Linked DNA regions of Caenorhabditis elegans. The protein of the gene in region 2 interacts with the protein of the main gene of each other region in a biochemical or structural test. Each region holds a gene or a part of one and is shown on either strand. Other genes may lie near its edges.

Region 1 (4,578 bases), 4.5 Mb from region 2:
GTTGGAAAGAGTTGGCATGGTAACGGATGTCAATTTGAGCACGCATCAACAGATTTGCGTGCGCGGAAAGCGGATTTTTCAAGAGAATAAGCATATGTTCATAAAACGATTATCGAAAAATTTTTATTTTTAGAAATAAAATGAGAGATTAGACAGCAAGGTTTGGTGGGATTGGAACAATTTCATCTTCATCTTCTTCTTCCGGATTCCACCAACGAACATCCAACTTGCGTCCTTCGAAATCTTCATTGACAGGATCCCAGAGGTTATAATTGAAATTTGGACGTGGAGGTGGATTGAATGGCTTTTCCTGAAACATGAAAAGATATTAAACTCATCTCCAACTCATGTATAAACCGGTTCTGGAATGATGCAGCAAACAGCACTGGCCAAGATCAGGAAACATGCCAACTCGAATAAGATTGCAATCATGTTTCGTATAAACTAAAACTGTTTAATTTCCCTCGAGTATCTAAACTGTTCAAATGTGCTTCTTCAAAAGTTCACGTTTGCAAAAAAAAACATTGATGAAATTAATTACGGAACTTTATTTGGGTTCGATAGACAGGAAAACAATGAATAAAACTGTGGAGGGGCTTTTGGGGAGATCTTCTCGTAACAAATGATAAATTAAATAGGATGTTTAGTCGACCTCCTCCATGCGGGAAGCATCCTCCTCAGCTCCCTCAATCTTGGCCTCAGCGGTGCACGATGATGGAACAGCAGAATCTTCAATTTCGTCATCTCCGATATCGAGACCAAGCTTGATCATTCTGTAGATGCGGGAAGCGTGAGATTGTGGCTCCTCAAGGGAGAATCCGGAAGCGAGAAGAGCAGTCTCGAAAAGAAGAACAACCAAATCCTTAACGGTCTTGTCATTCTTATCGACCTCGACACGATCACGAAGTGTCCTGAAATAGCAAAAACGTTTGTGAATGTTCATTTTAAAATAGTTTTTGGGTAACTTACTTCATGATAGCGTGGTCTGGGTTGATTTCGAGATGCTTCTTGGCGGCCATGTATCCCATAGTAGAGGAATCACGAAGAGCTTGAGCTTTCATGATGCGCTCCATGTTAGCGGACCATCCGTACTCGGAAGTGACAATGCAGCATGGGGAAGAGACAAGACGGTTAGAAACTCCAACCTTCTCAACCTTCTTCTCCAAAATGTCCTTGATGACCTTGCAAAGGTTTTCGTAGGCAACCTTGTCCTCTTCGAACTTCTTCTTCTCCTCCTCGGTTTCTGGGAGCTCGAGTCCTTCCTTGGTGACGGAGACAAGCTTCTTTCCATCATACTCCTTGAGTTGTTGGACGCAGTACTCATCAATTGGGTCGCACATGTAGAGGACTTCGAATCCGCGGCTCTTAACACGCTCGACGAAAGCTGAAGCAGCAACAACATCCTTGGACTCTCCGGTGATGTAGTAGATTTGAGTTTGGTTCTCCTTCATGCGGGAAACGTATTCCTTGAGGGAAGTTGGCTCATCTCCAGCGGAGGTAGAGTAGCGAAGGAAATCGGAAAGCTTCTTGCGGTTAGTAGAGTCCTCGTGGATTCCGAGCTTGAGATTCTTTCCGAATTGCTCGTAGAACTTCTTGAAGTTGTCTTTGTCCTCGGCAACCTCGTCGATAAGCTCCATGCACTTCTTGACAAGATTCTTACGGATGACCTTCAAGATCTTGGATTGCTGGAGCATTTCACGAGAGATGTTAAGTGGAAGATCCTCAGAATCGACGACTCCCTTGATGAAGTTAAGGTATTCTGGCATGAGCTCTTCGCAGTTCTCCATGATGAAGACACGACGAACGTAGAGCTTGATGGAGTTCTTGCTCTTCTTGTTCTCGAAGAGATCAAATGGAGCTCTTTGTGGGACGAAGAGAAGAGCACGGAATTCAAGTTGTCCCTCAACGGAGAAATGCTTGACGGCAAGATGATCTTCCCAGTCATTGGACAAGCTCTGAAATTAATGGAATTATTGCCATAAAATAATTAAAACTAAAAATACCTTGTAGAACTCAGCATATTCTTCGTTGGAGATATCGTCTGGGTTTCTGGTCCAGATTGGCTTGGTCTTGTTAAGCTCTTCGTCTTCGAAGTACTTCTCCTTGATTTTCTTGGTCTTCTTCTTGTCAGCGTCGTCAGCGACGTTCTCGACCTCTCCCTCCTTCTTCTCCTCATCCTTAGCCTCGACAGCCTCCTCATCTTCAACCTCCTTCTCACGCTCCTTCTCAACCACAAGCTTGATTGGGTATCCGATGAACTGAGAATGCTTCTTAACGATCTCCTTGATCTTGCGCTCCTCGAGGAAGTCAATCTGATCCTCCTTGATGTGCATGACAATCTTCGTTCCACGGGTGACCTCTGGGTCATTGAATGGACGAACGACGAAAGAACCTCCTGCGGAAGACTCCCATTGATAGCTGTCATCATCGTTGTTCTTGGATGTGACGACAACCTTATCGGCGACAAGGAAAGCAGAGTAGAATCCGACTCCGAACTGACCAATCATGGAAATATCAGCTCCAGCTTGAAGAGCCTCCATGAAGGCCTTGGTTCCAGACTTGGCAATGGTTCCAAGGTTGTTGACAAGATCGGCCTTGGTCATTCCGATTCCGGTATCCATAATGGTAAGGGTCTTTTCCTCCTTGTTTGGAGTAATTTTGATGAACAATTCCTTTCCAGTGTCAAGCTCGGATGGCTCGGTGAGTGCCTAAAACCGATATTTTAAAAAATTGACTCAGAAGCGAAAAAACAAACCTGGTAGCGAATCTTGTCAAGAGCATCGGAGGCGTTTGAGATCAATTCACGCAAGTAGATTTCCTTGTTACTGTAGAAAGTGTTGATGATCAAGCTCATCAACTGAGCAATCTCAGCCTGGAATGCGAAGGTTTCGGCGTTCTCGGACATGGTTCTGGAAAAATATCAATTAACAATCGAGCAACAAAAACTGAATAGAACTTTATAACGATTCAATGAATGAAAGAGCACGCATGGCGAATGATTTCGAAACTAAAAACACATTATAACCTTATCTAGAAATGAACTAATTTTAGGCCTAAAACTATTGTTCAAAAACCTTTAAAAATCAAAAACAATGATCCGTGATTAACATAAAAGCCATATTAGTGAGAGGAAAACCAAAAATCTTCACCCGAAAACCGAAAGAACTGGGAATATCAGAGCTCTGAGGCGTAATTGAAGGTCTAAATTTTGAACAAGATGCGAAATGTTCTCGAAGGAGGGCGTGGCCTTTCAATTTGATTGGTTGGTTTTCAAATTGCCCTTTTCGGCGGAAAATTCTCGACGAAAATTGTCAATAGAGCGCGTTTTCAGCACCTGGCCGAAGTTTTGCAGAATAGGTAACTAGGCCACAAACATTTTCTTGTTTTTAGTTTGAATTGTTTTTTCTTCATTTTTTTCAGATTACTTCGTCGAAAAGACGTTTTTTTGGTATTTTTGCACCAAAAAAAAATCTAAAATTATTATTCTATATTAAATAAAATCCCGAAATAAACTATATGTCACTCTCAATATTGAACTCGTTGAAAAATATTGCTTTCATTGGTTTTTATTTTATTTTTGCAGTTAATAAAATGTCCCGCGCCGACGAAGGCCGCTTGATTCATTTGGCAAAGAAACGTGAGCGTGAAAAGGAAGATATCGAACAACAATTGCGAAAGCTTGAAGAAGACAAAGAAAAATGTATGGTGAAACCCCTTTTTAATTATTAAAACTACAAATTTTGCAGGCAGGGTCGGAATTACGAATAAATTCATGGCAAACTATGAAACAGTCGAAGAAGTCGTGAAGTCTAAAACCTATGGCTTGGTATCATTGGATGATATGAAAAATATTCAGAAAAACGAAATTTCAAACAGGTTCGATTTTCTACATTTTGGAGAGCCTCACAATAAAAATGTGTACCTTATAGAGATCTACAAGTGGCCCGGGGAGACCAATCATCTTCTACTCAATCTAAAGATTCACAAGAAGCTCGAGAAAAAGAAGAACACGTTGCAAAACATACCCAGGTAAATGTGAAGGATTGCTGTAGAAATTTGGTTGTAGGCTCTAGACTCGGGTAGCAGTTGTAGTTCAATTGACTAGAGATTTCTCGTCGAAAGAGTCTTTTATACCAGATTTCTAAAAATTTGAGAACTTTCGAGAAAGAAAAATTGAGGGCAGGTGAGAGTGTGAGGAAACGCAGATATAAAACATTTTTGTAGAACATTCGAGAAAAACTGTTTTAATATTGCTAATTTCAGAAGCGATTTTTATCGTTTGCATTTGATGACGAAGAGGACGAAGAAGATGCTGCACCAATTATCCCGAAAAAGGTAAGAATAATAATTAAAAAGAAAAAATTAAAGCGAAAAATGTTTGCAGCGCGTTGGAATGGACCCAACTGTCGACACAAGCTTCCTGCCTGATAAAGAACGAGAGGAGTTCTTGAGAAAGTGAGTTCTAGAAGAAAAAACAACGACATTTCAAATTTTGGCGGGTGTAGATCATCCCGGTGAACAAATAAATAAAAAATAATAAGTCTGGTTTCAGAAAGAAAGAATCATTGGCAGCCGAGT
Region 2 (5,056 bases):
CCACGAAATCACCGTTGAAAAGCTGAAAATTTGGCCATTTTTTGAGCATTTTTCACATATTTTAAGTGAAAATTTGGCCATTTTCGGGGGTTTTTGGGGTGAAAATTAGGTGTTTTCGTGATTTTTAGAGTCAAAATTTGGTAATTTTTGTGGTATTTCTGCAATTTCAGCAAAAAATTGAAATTTTTTCAAGTTTTTTGATGAAAAATTGCCAATTTTTGGTGAAAATCAGGATTTTTTAAAATGAATTTTAGCCAAAATTTCGAGCATTAAAAAAGAGCATTTTTCAGCTTTTTAGTGAAAAAAAAATATTTTGCATTGATTTTTAAGTCAAAATTTCGAAATTTTGATGGTTTTTTGTAGAAAATTCGACTTTTTCAAGATTTTTGACAAAATTTTGGCTTTCAGGCGGTTTTTAGTAAAAAAATCGAGCATTTTTCATAAATTTAAAGTCAAAAATTGGCAATTTTTTTGCTTTTTGCTAAAAATTCGGAATTTTTCAATGACTTCTGCCAAAACTTTGAAAAAAAAAATCATTTCAGGGTTTTTATCTGAAAATCCGCATTTTTGGTGAAAATTCCTCAATTTTCAGCTGTTTTGGTTTTAATGTTTGAAATTTTTTCACGAATTTCAATCAAAATGTCGATTTATTGAGCTTATTTCAATAATTTCTGCAAAAAAATTCAATTTTTAGAGGTTTTTCACTAGAAAACATGATTATATCACAAAATTTGCCTATTTTCATGATTTTCGGTCAAAAATTGGAAATTTTTATGAATTTTAGCTCAAAATTCCTCAATTTTCCCGGATTTTCAGTCAAAATCTCTCATTTTTCAGCGCTTTCCCCGTACATATGGATTAGTCTCCGATGGATATCCATTAATCTCGAAAATATTGCACAAATCGTAGAATTGTCCGTGAACATCACCGCAAATCGTGAATTTCTTGCCAGTTGGCACCGTAATTTCAACCATTGTTGGCAGTGATTTGACATAATTATAAAACTCGAGGAGCATCTTGAACGCGTACTTTTTGTGCAATTTTTGCTGATTTTTGAACGTTTTGATGAGTTGCAACACGAATTCCTTGGTTATCTGAAAAGGATTTTGATCATTTTTGCGGTTTTTTACGGAAAAAACGGGAAAAAACTCAATTTTTCGCTTTTTTTTAACGAAAAATTCACTTTTTTTCTGTATTTTTTGCGGAAAATCGATTTTTAGACTAAATTTCTATGAAAAAAAAATGATTTTCAGGCGAATTTTTCGTGAAAAATTGACTTTTGGACTAAATTTCTATGAAAAATAGATTTTTGGACCAATTTTTTAATGAAAATTCCAGAAAATCCAAAAAAGATTGGAAATTTGCACGTTTTCTGACCGGAAATGCTAGTTTTTTTTTGTGAAAAATCGATTTTTGGGTTAAAATTGCAGTGAAAAATAGATTTTCAAATTAATTTTTATGAAAAATAGTTTCAGGACCACTTTTCCCTTGAAAAATCGATTTTTTGGACTAATTTTCGCAAAAAAATTCGAATTTCTGGCCTATTACCCTTGAAAAACGTATTTTTAGATCGATTTTCACAAAAATTTATGTTTTTGGACCGTTTTTTAGATCAAATTTCTATGAAAAATTGATTTTTACATCAGTTTTCCACCGAAAATCGCAATTTCCGCTCTGAAAATTGAATTTCGGGGTCAAAATTGCCGGTTTTACATCAATTTTCCGTCTAAAAATCGATTTTCACAGCCATTTTCCACCCGTACTTTATCTTCCAGCCGTGGACCATCATACGAATCCTCAATAGCCATTGCATTAATATCAAGAGTCTCGGCGACGGTTTTCTTGTCGTGATCCGTCGAAATTGCGGCTTCAAACTTCTGTCGGCGGACGATTTTCGAGCATTCGTCGAATTTTGCGCGAGCGTCTTTGTCGTTGGGGCAAACCTGCAAAAAAATGGAAATTTTTTCGGGGAAAAATACGGGAATTTTTGAAATTATACTAAATTTGAGAGAAAAATTATCAAAAATCACGTTTTTCTCATAAAAATTGGTTTTTTTTTTCATAAATATCGATTTCTTTTCAATTTTTTCGGCCGAAAGCTGTCAGCAGCGCCCAAAATTGAATTAGCAGCGCCCAAAACTTGTAGTTTGTAGTTTAAGCAGCGCCCAAAATTAAATTAGCAGCGCCCAAAATATTGTAGTTTGTAGTCTAACAGCGCCCAAAATTGAATTAGCAGCGCCCAAAACTTGTAGTTTGTAGTCTAAGCAGCGCCCAAAATTGAATTAGCAGCGCCCAAAATCTTGTAGTTTGTAGTCTAAGCAGCGCCCAAAATATTGTAGTTTGTAGTCTAAGCAGCGCCCAAAATTGAATTAGCAGCGCCCAAAATCTTGTAGTTTGTAGTCTTAGCAGCGCCCAAAATTGAAAAAGCAAAATTTCAAATTTTTCGCGTTTTCCGACTTTCTGGAGGTGAAAATTGATATATTTTTTCGAAATTTTCTCTTAAACCGGGTGAAAAATAGTTTCTAAACCGCCGTTTTTTCCGCTCTTCAACACCCAAAAAAAGTGAATTTTCACCTTAACAACCGCCTGATAATCGGTCAACGCCTTTTTAAACCGCCCCAGAGCCATATTGGCGGTAGCTCTTCTATAGAATCCCTTCACATATGACGGATCAATTGCAATCGCGTTGTCCGCATCCTCAAGAGCACTTCCGTAGAGCTCTTTCTTCAGATAGGCCTGTGCACGGTTTCCGTAAAGAACCGCCGTCGGATGAATCTCAATTGCGACAGAGTAGAGGTCGGCGGCCACGTCGTACACTTGATCTGCAGCAGGAAAATACTTTAAAATTCATCAAAAAATCGGTTTTTTTCCAAAAAATACCCTTAAAAAACTGATTAGCTTCATCTTTAATCATTCCAGCCTTCTCCTTCTCATCTTCGTACGACTTTTCCTCAATTGACTCCAAAACTGTCGCCACAATGTCATCTGTTATAGTGGCAGCCATTTCGGAGCCTGAAAATTTAGATTTTATTTTTTTTTTTCTTTTTTTTCTCTTTTTTTTTAGCGAAAAAAACCGAATTTCGGAGCGGTTTCCCTAAAATTTAACCGTGTTTTTCGAAATGTTGAGCCTGAAATTCACAAAAAACACAAAAAATGCAAGAAAATCGATAGAAAATGAAGAATTTTGGGACAATTTCCGGTTGGACGGGGTTTTTTTTTTTTGCACAATTGCTCTTGTGTGTGGATTTACGGTAAACAACACGCGGTGGGAGGTGAGCGGAGTGTCGTTGTGTTTGGGTTTTTATTGGATTTTAAGGGTTTTTCGATGATTTCAAAGGTTTTTTACAGGGGAAAAATAAATAATAGCATGAAAACGTTGATTTTTTCATATTTTCGTAAAAAATTTACAGAAAAAAAGCTTAAAAATCGCTTGATTTCGGCAATTTTGACAAAAAATTTCTTGTTTGGATTTACGGTAAACTACACGCGTGGCCGGGATTTCGGAGCAACGTTGTCACTTTTTTTTTTTTTTTCATTTTATTTCTGGAATTTTCGCTATTTTACTCATTTTTCGACTAAATTTTCAATTTTCCGATGTCAAAATTCGGTGGAGCAACTGCAAAAGTCATAAAAGGCGCGCTAAAAGTCCGACAAACGAGGTAATTCTGAATTTTCCCGGAAATCTGCCAATTTTCACCCCGAAAAAGTTTCAGAGCGGCTCTCACACTTACCAACGAAGCCGTCAGCAGAATACGCGTGTTATTGGCTCAACAGAATGATGCAAATGCGTTGAAAGTTCGTTTTTTCCGTCGATTTTTCGATTTTTCGATTTTTGCGCCGCCGGAAATGATGAAATTTTTAATTTTTTCAGATCGGAGTTCGACAAAAAGGCTGTAATGGGTTAACATATACACTGGAATATGCAAAGGATAAGCAGAAATTTGACGAGGAAGTTGAGCAGGTAGAAATTGCCTCAAAATCTGGATTTTTAGCTCAAATTTATCACAAAAAACCCGGATTTTCACTAATTTCGATGAAAAATCCCCCAATTTTTCCCATTTTCCAGGACGGAATCAAAGTGTGGATCGAACCAAAAGCTCAGCTCTCGCTACTCGGCTCAGAAATGGATTACGTCACCGATAAGCTATCGTCGGAATTCGTTTTCCGAAATCCTAATATTAAAGGAACGTGTGGATGCGGAGAATCTTTTAGTATTTGATTTGATGATGATTTGCTACGCTATTTACCATAATTTAGTAGTGATTTCCACGTGTACATTCTAGAAAAAATGCTAATAAATTTGAATATAGTGCAGAAAATTTGGCAATTTTCAGGTGAAAAACATATGAAGTTTGCATGATTAACTTGTTTGGAGAAAAATACAAAAGATACAAAAAAATTCGACCACGCTGGGGGCTCGAACCCCGGAGGTGTGATTGGTAGTCGGCGAAAATCCCACTGCGCCACTTGGACACATTTTTTTGAAAATTCAGAAAAACGATGGAAATTATAAGAAATCACGGTTTTAAGTTAAATTTTAAATTTTTATATGTGAAAAACTCACAAATTTTAGATTTTAAAAAAAATTAAAGTTTAAAATTCAATTTTCACCATGTTCTCGTAGTTTTTGTGTTCTAAAACTTGAAAATTCGGATTCCGCATGGTGGAATTATCCGAAAACCATTTAAAAATCAAAATAAAAATTTTTTACCACAGCGGGGACTCGAACCCCGGAGGTATGATTGGTAGTCGGCGAAAATCCCACTGCACCACTTGGACACAATTTTCGAAAATTCAGAAAAACGATGGAAATTATAAGAAATCACGGTTTTAAGTTAAATTTTAATTTTTTATATGTGAAAAACTCACAAATTTTAGATTTTTAAAAAAATTAAAGTTTAAAATTCAATTTTCATAATGTTCTCGTAGTTTTTGTGTTCTAAAACTTGAAAATTCGGATTCCGCATGGTGGAATTATCCGAAAACCGTTTAAAAATCACAATAAAAAAATTGTGCCACAGTGCGGTCTCGAACCCCGGTCTTGTGATTGGTAGTC

What was found. The genes of interacting proteins can lie anywhere in the genome.
Region 1: the proteins of pph-5 (region 2) and hsp-90 form a complex in vitro, tested with the Caenorhabditis elegans proteins (one study listed by BioGRID).

The regions. Positions count from the first base shown.
Region 1 is NC_003283.11:14,684,491-14,689,068, reverse strand, and holds hsp-90 (Heat shock protein 90), read right to left. Parts: upstream 2,910-4,578; 5' UTR 2,906-2,909; coding exon 2,756-2,905; intron 2,709-2,755; coding exon 2,004-2,708; intron 1,956-2,003; coding exon 970-1,955; intron 912-969; coding exon 644-911; 3' UTR 530-643; downstream 1-529. Other genes in the region: C47E8.11 (uncharacterized protein), read right to left, coding at 149-310, 358-432; C47E8.4 (Protein FAM50 homolog), read left to right, coding at 3,592-3,700, 3,747-3,876, 3,930-4,029, 4,264-4,335, 4,385-4,455, 4,553-4,578. UniProt on the Caenorhabditis elegans protein: Molecular chaperone that promotes the maturation, structural maintenance and proper regulation of specific target proteins involved for instance in cell cycle control and signal transduction. Undergoes a functional cycle that is linked to its ATPase activity.
Region 2 is NC_003283.11:19,188,503-19,193,558, reverse strand, and holds the start of pph-5 (Serine/threonine-protein phosphatase 5), read right to left. Parts: upstream 3,013-5,056; 5' UTR 3,005-3,012; coding exon 2,881-3,004; intron 2,823-2,880; coding exon 2,575-2,822; intron 1,944-2,574; coding exon 1,764-1,943; intron 1,095-1,763; coding exon 852-1,094; intron 23-851; coding exon 1-22. Other genes in the region: Y39B6A.3 (Iron-sulfur cluster assembly 1 homolog, mitochondrial), read left to right, coding at 3,595-3,659, 3,708-3,795, 3,872-3,961, 4,067-4,219.